2 linked regions of the Drosophila melanogaster genome follow. The protein of the gene in region 2 interacts with the protein of the main gene of each other region in a pairwise test. Each region holds a gene or a part of one and is shown on either strand. Other genes may lie near its edges. The genes, in order: CG17110 and CAH2.

What was found.
Region 1: the proteins of CAH2 (region 2) and CG17110 interact in a two-hybrid assay, tested with the Drosophila melanogaster proteins (one large-scale study listed by BioGRID).

The regions. Positions count from the first base shown.
Region 1 is NT_033777.3:23,090,025-23,095,846, reverse strand, and holds CG17110 (uncharacterized protein), read right to left. Parts: upstream 4,124-5,822; 5' UTR 4,091-4,123; intron 4,071-4,090; exon of another isoform or gene 3,985-4,070; 5' UTR 3,977-3,984; coding exon of another isoform or gene 3,886-3,976; intron 3,792-3,885; coding exon of another isoform or gene 3,300-3,791; intron 3,247-3,299; coding exon of another isoform or gene 2,829-3,246; intron 2,766-2,828; coding exon of another isoform or gene 2,561-2,765; 5' UTR 2,414-2,560; exon of another isoform or gene 2,388-2,413; intron 2,350-2,387; exon of another isoform or gene 2,347-2,349; 5' UTR 2,169-2,346; coding exon 2,072-2,168; intron 2,018-2,071; coding exon 1,526-2,017; intron 1,468-1,525; coding exon 1,053-1,467; intron 998-1,052; coding exon 793-997; 3' UTR 663-792; downstream 1-662. Other genes in the region: CG17109 (uncharacterized protein), read right to left, coding at 24-114; CG6726 (uncharacterized protein), read right to left, coding at 2,561-2,765, 2,829-3,246, 3,300-3,791, 3,886-3,976.
Region 2 is NT_037436.4:12,177,917-12,183,862, reverse strand, and holds CAH2 (carbonic anhydrase 2), read right to left. Parts: upstream 3,988-5,946; 5' UTR 3,766-3,987; coding exon 3,708-3,765; intron 2,188-3,707; coding exon 1,715-2,187; intron 1,654-1,714; coding exon 1,426-1,653; intron 1,365-1,425; coding exon 1,116-1,364; 3' UTR 516-1,115; downstream 1-515.

The sequences.
Region 1 (5,822 bases), on a different chromosome or scaffold from region 2:
TGAATTCCTTGGGGAATCCTTACTGTAATCCACATTTGGCTGCACCGTAGCTATGCGCAAATATTCGCGGAATATTTTGATTTCCTCGTTGTCCTCCCACTTTTCGGTGCTCATTTTGTGGATATGTTTTCGCTGCCAGTCACCAAACTCGAATGTGCCGCAGTTGGCAAAAAATGAACTTATACAGAAATTTTTGTGTGTTGGGTGATTTTGGTTTTATGGCCTTGGCTTCGTATTATTATCAAATAATGAGTTCGTTATCAAACTCGGTTGTTATAGAAATGATAACAGCACATATTCTTGTACAAAATTCTACCAAAACAAATGTCTAATAGCAAACGGTAGCCAATTCGATAAAGTTCACATAACACCAATAAAACTCAACCACCGTCGTTTATGGTCTGCGAAAAAATGGGTTATTATAATTTGTATTTGGTTTGATAAGAAAATAGAATACATATTAATGTAATTATTGATAATTATGATGTATATATAAAATACAACCCCTTTACGTGAAGGTTACGTTAGTTTTTGAGAACGATATCAATAGTTGTGACGATTTATTGGATATTGAATGAGGGCAAAGTCCATGACAAAAACTCTCTTCTGAAACTCGTGTTATCAGTGTGTGATTTTCATTTGTTTAGAAACAGATATGATTTGTAGTAGTCACACCATTTAAACATTTAATTTTGGTCCTACACTCATCGAGCCAAAAACATTACTCATAAGCGATAAGACCAATTGTAGCATATTGATTTCCATTTATGAGTGGAACTTCGCTTGAACATTTTATGAATCAGCAATAGAGGGGATGAGCTTCCTGTACACCTGAATTCCGTGCAGATATGTGTCGGCCCGCAAATATTCATCATGATTGTGCAGCAGCACCGGGGTGTTGTTGATGGGTGAAAATCCCAGAGCGGGAATTCCCACTTGCCGGACGTAGAAGCTATCGGTGGCGCCGGGGAAAACTCGTGTATGGGTGATCAAACCTCTGGAAAATTTCAACAAATTATGAAGTGAAAACTACACAATCTTTGTTTACCTACAGTTCATCTAGTCCCTTTTTGAAGCCCAGCCAGTAGGGATTGGAGTCGTCTATCTTGGTCACCACCGAGGGGCACTTCAGCGTGAAATCCAGTTCCACTCCACCACCGACTTCGTTGCACCACTCGCGAATCTGATTCTCCATTGCATCGGCATTCTGGTTGATGGCTATGCGAATATCAAAAGTGGCTTCTAGTACGGGGGGAACCACATTGCTTTGGACGCCACCGTTGAGTTGGGTCAGGTTCAAAGTGGTCACATCACCGGACTGCAAGGAGGAGTCCTCGGCCAGTAGCTTGACCTGGGTTTCTCGGAACTTCATCAGCTTATCCATCACAAAGTGAAACTTTTCGCCAGCCGTGCTTTTGTGCAGCAGCGATCCATGACCTGAAGTGCCACTGAATTTAAATCGAAGTTCTGCAGGGGTATAAAATGAATCAGAATATATTGCTACTGATGCAAATGGAAGACTTACGCCACAATGTACGCTCGGCGTAAAATACAGGATAAGTGTCATCTTCACTGGCGATGCCCTCGTCCAGGCTAAAGCCCACATTCATGGCTTTGAAGTAATCACCCTTGACGAATTCAGCCATGCCCATGTGTCCGCCAGTTTCCTCGTCGGGCACAAAAGTCAAATATACGGTCCTTTTTGGCTGATAGCCACTGGCTTTGAGTGCACGGACCGCAGCCATGTACTGACATCCCACGGACTTCATGTCCTGGGCACCGCGTGCATAAATCCGGCCTTGGGCGTCTATGTGGGCACCAAACGGCTCATGGGTCCACTTTTCGGGAAACACGGGCACCACGTCCATGTGTGAGTTCAATATAATGGATTTCAGCTCGGGATGCTTGCCCAGCCACTTCATAATCACCACCGGTTTCGAAGGCACAACAGGATACACCACGTCCACGCGGAGATTAAGTTTGTTAGCCTGGCGTTTTAGGAACTCCACGCATGCAGCTGCAAGGGAAATAGGGATAACAAAATCCAAGGAGCGGAAAAACAAATCCTTACTGTAGTCCACGTCTGGATGCACCGAGGGAATGCGCAAATACTCCTGGAAAATGATTATTTCCTCGTCGTTCTTCCATTGTTCCGTGCAAGTGCACATTTTGAGTTGAATGCCCCGTGGTTCTAAAGGAACTGACTTGTAATCCACCGTGCTGTTTGGTTTGAAGTCTGAGTGTGGATTGACTTAATGGCATTATCAGTTGTTGACTTTAAGCTACTTGATTAGAAGAGCCCACAATTTGCGGATTTTCATCTTTGCGCTAAGAGCTTAATGTTATCTAGCAAAGCCATAATAGTAAACCATAAACTTATTCATTTTCATTTAAATTTCCTTTTTTTGCTCACCATTAATGGTATGGACTATGGACTGGCTTATTTATTCATACATTGTTTATTTAAATGGGTTTTTATAAGCCTGCTTGTTTAAAGTTATTACAATAAACATCGACAAGTAAGCATTAAATGCATTATTTCATAATTGAATTGAGTTCGCTAAGCATCAGCTACGGCAGGAATGAGCTTCTTGTAAACCTCAATGCCGTGCAAATAGGTATCGGCTTTCAGGAATTCATCGTGGTCGTGCAGCAGGATGGGGGTGTTGTTAATGGGCGAGAATCCTAGAGCTGGAATGCCTGCGTAGCGAATATAACGACTGTCCGTGGCGCCGGGGAAAACACGAACCCGTGTCTTGAGGCCACTGAAAGAAACAAGGAGAAAGGATATCAGAGCCATGCCTTTTGTCAGAGCTTCTCATCCTTACAGGTCATCGAGTGCTTTCTTAAAGGCCAGCCAGTAGGCATTCGACGAGTCAATCTTTGTTGGCTCCACAAAGGGGTTTTTCATCTCAAACTCCAGTTCAATGCCGCCGCCAGCCTCCTCGCACCAGTCGCGAATCTGCTTCTCAAAGGCAGGGATATCCACGGTGACGGCAATGCGGATATCAAATACAGCTTCCAGCAATGGGGGAACCACGTTGCTCTGGACTCCGCCCCTCAGTTGGGTGAGATTCACAGTGGTCACATCACCAATTTCGAGGGATGAGTCGTCAGCTAGTTTTTGCACTTGCGATTTGCGGAACTCCATCATTTTGCCTACCACATAGTTCAGCTTCTCGCCAGCAGTATTCGGGAGCAACAGTGATCCGTGACCAGCAGTTCCGCTGATCTTGAAACGAAGATCTGCAGGAAAACATGGCTAGCTTAAATTGTTTGTATGAGTCAATCCTACTCACGCCAAAGAGTCCGTTCAGCGTAGTACAGAGCGTAGGTTTCATCCGCACTAGAGATTCCCTCGTCGAAACTGAATCCCACATTGAGCTTCTTGAAGTAGTCGCTCTTTACCAGCTCCCGCATGCCCAGGTGGCCGCCAACCTCCTCGTCCGGAACATAAGTGAGATAGATCGTCCTCTTGGGTTGATAGCCACTGGCCTTGAGGGCACGCACAGCTCCCAGATATTGGGTGCCCACGCACTTCATGTCCTGCGATCCGCGCGCAAAGATGCGACCCTCTGCATCTAGATCCGCGCTGAATGGACCGTGTGTCCACTTCTCCTCAAAAACGGGCACTACATCCGTGTGCGAATTGAGAATGATGGAGGGCAGTTCCGGCTGGGAACCCTGCCATTTTAGCACCACCACGGGATTCTGCTCGTTCACCGGATAGATAACCTCCACGGGCAGGTCCAAGCTGGCAGCCTGGCGTTTCAAGAATTCCGTGCAAACGGCTATAAATAGCAGACACATTTTATGGCAAGGTCATAAAGATCAGGGTACTCTTATCGCAGCCTCATAAAGATATACATGCCCATTGGAACTCACTGTAATCCACATTTGGATGCACCGTTGGTATGCGAAGATATTCGCGAAAGATCTTAATCTCCTCGTTGTTCTCCCACTTGGCTGTACTCATTTTGCACTCTATAAAATGTAAATAATTAGCCGGCTGATAACAAATCAATTAAATTGTTTGCTGAAATCAGCTGATCGACACTTCACCACAGCGGAGAGCAGACACACAACACACCTTTCGCAACACTGGCTCGACGACGACTGTGCGATCGTGGAGAGAAGCGCGCGTTTAAATATCAGCGATAAGCGAGCGAAAGAGAGGGCATGATAATAAATCCGAGAAGGAACTAAACCTAATTTCTTATCATACGGTGCTGCCTATAAACTGTTTTATCTTACGCATTTGTTTACTTTTTAGATGGCTAATCTACTTTTCAGTACAAATGACTTGCAGTTAACAATTGCTTCCGTCATTAATAATATTCGTGTCTTCCCATTTCTATATGAGAAACTAATTTGATGAATTTAATATCCAGCACTCAAAAATTCAATTGATTACAAAAGAGACATCCCCTAATAGTAATTTCTATCTTGTACTGCATTATTTATAAATTAAACTGAATTTTGCAGCTCATAGCACAAGGAGTGGAACTCTATTTCTGTACCATCCCAATTGGTAGGGATTCCACTCCATGTATTGGTGAACATTCTTCCATCACTTTCCGGTACATATGAACCCACTTTAAGGCTCATTTACTTGGGATTCCCCCTGGCTGATGGATTTATTTGCCTTAAATGGAGGCGAAGGTGCTTCGCATTGCTTTGGGGGTAACAGGACTGCAGGATTGCTGGATTGATGGTGACCCCATTTGGCCCGCAGCCAAGATTTCCGATTACTGATGAATCGCATGCAATCGCATTCCAATTCCAGTTGATTTGTTAATCAAGATGCACTGCACACGTTCGCACCACACGCCCAGTGGGCTTCCGGGTAAACAAGTTGCCCCTCCTCGGGCCTTTCAGCCACTCGAATCCAATTCAAATTTCGCATATTAATAGTGTTCCTGCTGCACTTGCCGACTTTGCTGCACTGCGTCTGTTGTCCCAGTAGTGTGTCAAAAGTTAGTTTCGCATTTAGATTTCACGCTTGTTCCCATACAGAAAAAAAGGTGGTTGGGCCAAAAAAAATACACAAAACCAAAGCCCTCTGATTTGTGTCGCATACACACCCTGCTAGGCCAAAGTTGATATTGTTTTAGTGTGTGTACTCACAAAAAGTCATTAAAAGTTCATTAACAATGTTGCTGGGATTTTAATGGCGCACCAGCAGCAATAGCAGCAACTACAGGCTACACATGTCTGCATTTTAAATAACATCCAAGCCCCACATTCGTACAAACTCGTACTCTCCCCATTTACAGCGTCACATAAGTCAAATAAATACACAAGTTTCCTGCGCACAAACACTCGTTCAGCTGCACAATGGGCCAAAATGGCAAGTTTTTGGCATAATTCGAATGTAATGTCCCTAGAATAGAGTCTATAAGTCTGTACAGAGGCTAAAGTAGTTCATTCTTAGTCGAGTAAAACACGAATCTACTTATCTGATGCCAAATTATTCACTTTTCGCCCATGGTGGTGACTTGGGGGCGCGCCTGTTTGTTGTTTGCTGATGTTGCTGCTGAGCTGACATGTTGTCGCTGGGCAAATAAACTAAATGAAAATTTTGTATATTGTAACAATTATCCGGGCAACGCCGGAAACTGTTTGCGTTGAGCACCCAAAACCTGCAGAACTGCAGAGATGGAACCCCGAGGATATCGCCTAATCCGTTATGGGCGCATTACCTGGCCAAAAAAAGCAAAAAAAAAAAATAAAAGCGAGAGAACTGATATAATCCTCCTCTGCCATTTACCATTTACCATATCCCTCGGCCCAGAGCGTACATTTCCTTTTGTTCGAGCTTT
Region 2 (5,946 bases):
GCTGCCTACAAGATCCCGACTTTTTCCTCTATCTAATGTTCTATAATGTAGTTTACTTTAGGAAGGCCCCACAGTATTACTACGGCCTCAAGTAATTTTGAATAAATCATTTCTACTTTCGCCAGACGAACTCTTCGACTTGAATACAAAAGTTAATATTTCGCTGATAGATTTCTGCACATGCTTGCAATAATTCATTAGTAATTTAGCTGACAGGTGGGGTCAATAGGTCATCAGCCGGCACAAGACTCTCTCAGACTGATACGATTATTATGAATAATGCGACAATTAAATCAAATACACAAGTAATCAAACCAAACTTGCTTTGTAAAGATGTCCGTGGAAGCAGGACTTTGTCTAGAAATATTTCGTTAATTTTTTAAGGGTGAAATACATTTCTAAGCCTGGCCAAAAAGTATACTTCAATTATTCGAATATTGTATTTTGAAATTCAAATTTTGAATATGTCACACAATAACATGAAGAGCTCACTCATTTTAAAAACACCCTTTATGAGATGTTAAACAATAAAATTTATTACGGTTTTATGTTTACAAAACTTAAATCTAAGGTACACGAATAAAAAGCTCTGCTTGTGCCAAGCATTTAAAATCACAATGTGCAATAGCGAGGACATCCAGGGGGTTCCCCTCGCACTGGCGGGCCTCCTCGGACGGAAGGGAATATGGGGATACGGATACGGATACGGTTACGGGTACGGGAACGGGTACGGGTACGGGAACGGGTACGGATACGGGGTACGATTCGGTTGACAGTCGCTGTGCGAGGTGCTGCATAATTGATGAGTAAGGGTTTCGTGCCAGCTGAAGCTCCGCCCATTTGGGGTTTAATAATTTCGCCCACCGTCCGCCTGTTTGTTTGCCCATATATATATATTTATATATATATATATATGTGTGTGTGTGTGGATATGAATGGATGTCCTGACGGCAGTTGAGTCCTTGCCGAAGGAAATTACCGGGACTCGTGTTTGAACAACAAACAGCGACGGCGAACAAGAGCGGAAAATGTAAATTACAGCGCTTAATTGGACGCCTAAGCGCCAGCTAGGCATTTAACGATTTAACCTTCGATTTACCACCGCAGAACTCTAATTAAAAACCCCGGAAAATGGAGGTCCTTGACAATGCAGCGAGGACAACGAGGGGCAACAGCACTGCTGCGGCTTGTGCCCTCCACTTGCCAGCCGCATTTTCCGCATCGACGAGTGGAATCGAGCCCATGTTGTGAATCGGAATTTCTATGTAGTTCTTGTACAAGGTGCGATCGTTCAGCGGCTGGATGGGTCGGAAATTGTTCTTCAGATGATCATCGTTGGCTGTCAGCAGACGGAAGGCATTCAACTGCAAGGGAAGAGTATAGTGTAAAACATAAAAAACAAGGTTCACTTAAATATTTATTTACCTGCTTCTCCGTGATGTCAATGGGCGTTGTGAAATCAATCCAGGTGACCTCCTCACTGCAAGGCGGTGTGGTCAGAGAACCAGTGTAGCTAAAGTAACTCTCCACGGACTTCGAGATGTACTCGCCCAGTGGAAGTGGATTGGTCATATTAACGCTCTTGCCTTTGCGGTCAATCTGGGAGAGCAAGTTGGTGAAGCCCTCATAGCCACCAGTTGATTTGTCGCCCACCTAATGGAATATATTTCTGTATAAGGATCTATGTTCTTAAACTCCAAAAGTCAGCACTCACCTGAAAGAAGAAGGCCATCACGGCGATGCCGTGATCCTTGTCCAGGGCGCTGGCAAAGTCCGGATACTCTAGATTCCGCAATACCACGTGCAACTCGGCGGGATAGGCACGATTGTTGATCAAATCCTCACTGCCAATCGTATCGTTCTCGCCCCAGTGAAAGTGGAACTGTTCGAACTGATAGCCCAGAGGAGTTTTCTCCGCCAAAGGACCACCACGCACACTTGGGATCTCGTCCTCGTTGTAGCTCATCTTCACCAGCACCGTGTGACCGTTGTTCGTCATTTGAAGATTGTCGGGCACCACTTTGAAATTGAAAAACTCCAGCTTGGGAAACTTCTTCTCCACGGCGCTGACCTGGTCGATGTTTATGGGACTCTGGTGCTTTCCACTGCAGCGGGCGTAATCCTCGCTCCAGTGCTCGGGTCCATGTCTGCCCTCGTAGCCAAAATCTTGGGCCAAGACCAAAGAAGCTAAAAATGTATTAAATAAATTCATTAAAATGGCAAATTCATCTCCTCGAATGTGCGTCAAAATATATAATAGATATTCTTCAATGGGGGCAAACAAACAGAGACAGTTAATCGAGCCAGCCAGGTGCTAATTAAACGATAATGTCGGTGACATTTCGTGACATCGAGTGGGTGTGTAATCAGTGATACCTGTTTAAGCAATCTATCAGCTATTTTTGGTCACAGCGAAAGCTATAAATATGCGATTTGTGTGTCCTATACATTTTGCACACTTTTTATTCATTGACAAGCAGTTCAGACAGTTCTAAAATCTAGACAGCCCTAATTGGCCATTCAATTAGCATTAATCGGGTAACAATTAAGCGTGTAAAGTTTATTTCAGTTTGCATAGGGAAGGGCGCAGCAGTCAATTGTAAATACAATCTTTAATTTGTTAAATTTTTTATACAATAACCGACCGATTATTGGCTAATTTGTGGGCCACCGAAAATGATAGCAAATTTAGCCGAACACCTATACCAAAATTATCTCTCATTAACAAGTTGCCTAATTTTTGCCAAATTTAAGTTAATTACGATACAAATTCTATTAGCAGCGCATTTAGTATGGTATTCCCAACTAAGCTCACACCGTTGTTAAGCAAAGTGAATCTTAATAGGATAATTAAAAAAAAACATCGAAAAAATTCCCTTGTGATTGCCTAACGACAGCGGGTATCATGTGGTCTGGTCATGTCTCATTCTGGTTTGATCATCGTGGACACGGGTGACGAATAGCCAAGACACCCGAATGGCAGGTGGAAGGTTGAAGATCAATCACGTGACCAGCTTGTAGGTAACTATAAATAAATATACAATTCCCATTGCAGAACTACTCTGGATCCTCGATCTATCTCTAGATAGTGATACCATCGTAAAAGCTTCATACTGTGATTTAATAAAAAAAAATTTTACTGATTTATAACCAAGATAATCGAGTTGCTTTGTAATGATGTATAACTAGTCTAACTTGTAGGTAGTAGTATAACCTGGTACTAGTAAACTAGTAAATGGTTTTTATTTATATTTATCTGCATATAATAAATTTTACTTCTTTACGCACTATTGTTTGGTTAAACCTTATTCTTTTTTTTTGCTCCCTTATTTTAAACTAATATGTTACTACATATCTTAACATAAAGGTTGCCCTTCTGGTTTTCTCTGCAGGTAAAGTGGACGAAATAAAACAAAAACCCTCCACTTGAAACGGTGCTTGATCAAATAAGAGCGTTTTAATTTCCTTGTAGTGCGACAAAGTCCTGGACAATTGTTTAAATATTTGCTGCACTTAGCTGAGTAAACACTTTGCCGCAAGAGATGAGAGCACACAAAGAGCTTAATTGCAATCCCCGTATCTTGATTAACGCACTTTTGGTCAACAGTTCCCCATTATCGGGTTACACCTTTATAGTATATACATGTTTATGTACTTATGTTTGTATGTAAATAAAACTATATAGCATATATTGTAGTTTAGCTCACCACAAATCAAGATCGGAGCAATGACAATTGCGAACGGGGTGTTGCGACACCTCCTCATGGTTTCACCTTGCCGCGGACTCACTTTTCACGGAACACACTTGCCCTTATCGGGAATTACTGGGCACTGTCACCAGTCGCGACTAATTTACGAACTGTAACTATTTGCGGCACTGGGGCACACAAATCTAGTGGCTTTCGAACGGTTTTAAGCTGACAGTGGAGACACTGTCTTACTATCCGTGCTCACCCGCCGAACGCGGTCACACAACTGCGGTTAGGGAATCGGCGACACCGCAACTTATATAGCCTCGTCGAGGGTTTGTGGTGCTTCTGTGTTATTTTCCGTTTTTTTTTTTTCCATTTTTTTTATATATATATATTTTCGTAGCTGCCAATCGAGTTGGAAGCCCAGTGGTCGGCGGAACTTTCCTATCCACTCGAGAGATAGAGAAGCGACCTATTTGGGCGCCAAGCCAAGGGAAACCAAACCCAACCAAACCAAGCCACCAAAACGCCAGCCACAATCCGGTGTCGATGGGAATTTAAAAGGTTAACCATCCGGATGACTTTAGGTTGCCCTAACCTTGCCATTGAATTGAAGCATTTGGGTTACTTTGACTTACTTGTGAAAATATTCCACTCAACTGGATACTAGAATAAATAGTACTGTCTTGAGTGAAATCGCAACTGAGAAATCCCCCAGTAATGAGTTTTTACTATCCATGTCTTATAATAACAAACTTTTTATGGGCTACACTGTTTAATTAACAGTACGGCAATTAATAGTGCCTCTTAAGTGCTTCACTTTAACTATAAAGTTTTTTTTTAGCGCTATAAAATAATTAAAGAGCTTGCTGGTATTAAGCAAATTATTGGGTAGTAACCTGTTTAGAAAAATAATTTATTCGTATAGCTCAGAGTAAAGCATGATCATATTTGATGGGGATTTTTAACTTTCTGTTCCTAGCGACGCACCCTTGGGTGTACTACTACACTATCGCCGTAAGCTTTTGAAGTTTCCGTTAGTTTAGTTCAACCTTATGTCATAGTGTCTCTTTGATAGCTTCTATATGCCGGGGAATCTAAGGTATCACAGGGTATGCCCGATGCGAGGTCCGAAAAACCAGCGATTAATTTATAGCCGAGTGACTAATGGTGTGCGTGCCGGACTTAACCGTCGATGAGTAACTGCCAAATTAGATGACTGCGATAAAGATGGTAATCCATGGCGGGGAAGACCGAAAGACGCGACTGGAAAGTCAATTTTCGATTGTTCGAGTCGAAAACACTCGAATAAAAGAGAGTTAGGTCTTGACTTGAGGGGGTTACAAAACCCGAAAACTTCGGGCTCCGGATGATCGACAGCTCAGAGTATTGTTCAAACATATATACATATGTATATATATATATGTACGAATATGTGAATGGCTGGGGGGTGATCGGTGAAATTGTGGGGGCTTATCTCCATATCTGTGTGCGATACTCAGCCTGATTGCTTTGCTGTTTATCTTTGCATCACATGTCGCAAATGCACTAGGCACATTAAATGGCATTACTATTGCATGCTAATCGCATTGTGCAGCCTGTTTGTTTTCCACTTTCCACGATGTAACCATTTCCCCCGACATCGATAGCCATGGCTTTTCCATCGAATCCCGCAAACGAATCAATAGTTATCACTACCTTTAAAACTGGCAAACAGATTAACGCAACGCCATTACATTAATTTGGGGTCGGAAAACAAACGGAGTGGGATATTTCCGGTTTTCAAACTGATGATAGGTTGTCTAAACGCGCACAGATCTTAGCTAATTCAGTGGGCAAACCAGCCTAGTCAATCAGATTTAACAGCCATAATTGATCTGAACAAAGGAATGCTTTATATCTTCGATGTTAACAATATTCATATGTATATTATTTGCGTCATTTCATTTAACTTGTCTCCAGTGAAAACTTCAAAGGGAACTGATATTTTTTTTTTTGTTTAAACAATTAGTTATGTTATGGCAAAATAATAGGGATTTAATTGCAGGCAAAAAAGTTTAATACAATCAAGAATTGCAAATTAATTAATGCATTGCAATGCCAAGCGAATAGATCGACAAAAAATAAAACAATTAATTAAACAACTAGCAAGCAGATAATCCAACAGAATTTTAATACGCACAGCGTACGGTTGCCGCTTATTTTCTACGCTTTTTTTTTTGGTAACTTTTTTAGGCCAGTTATGACTGACTCA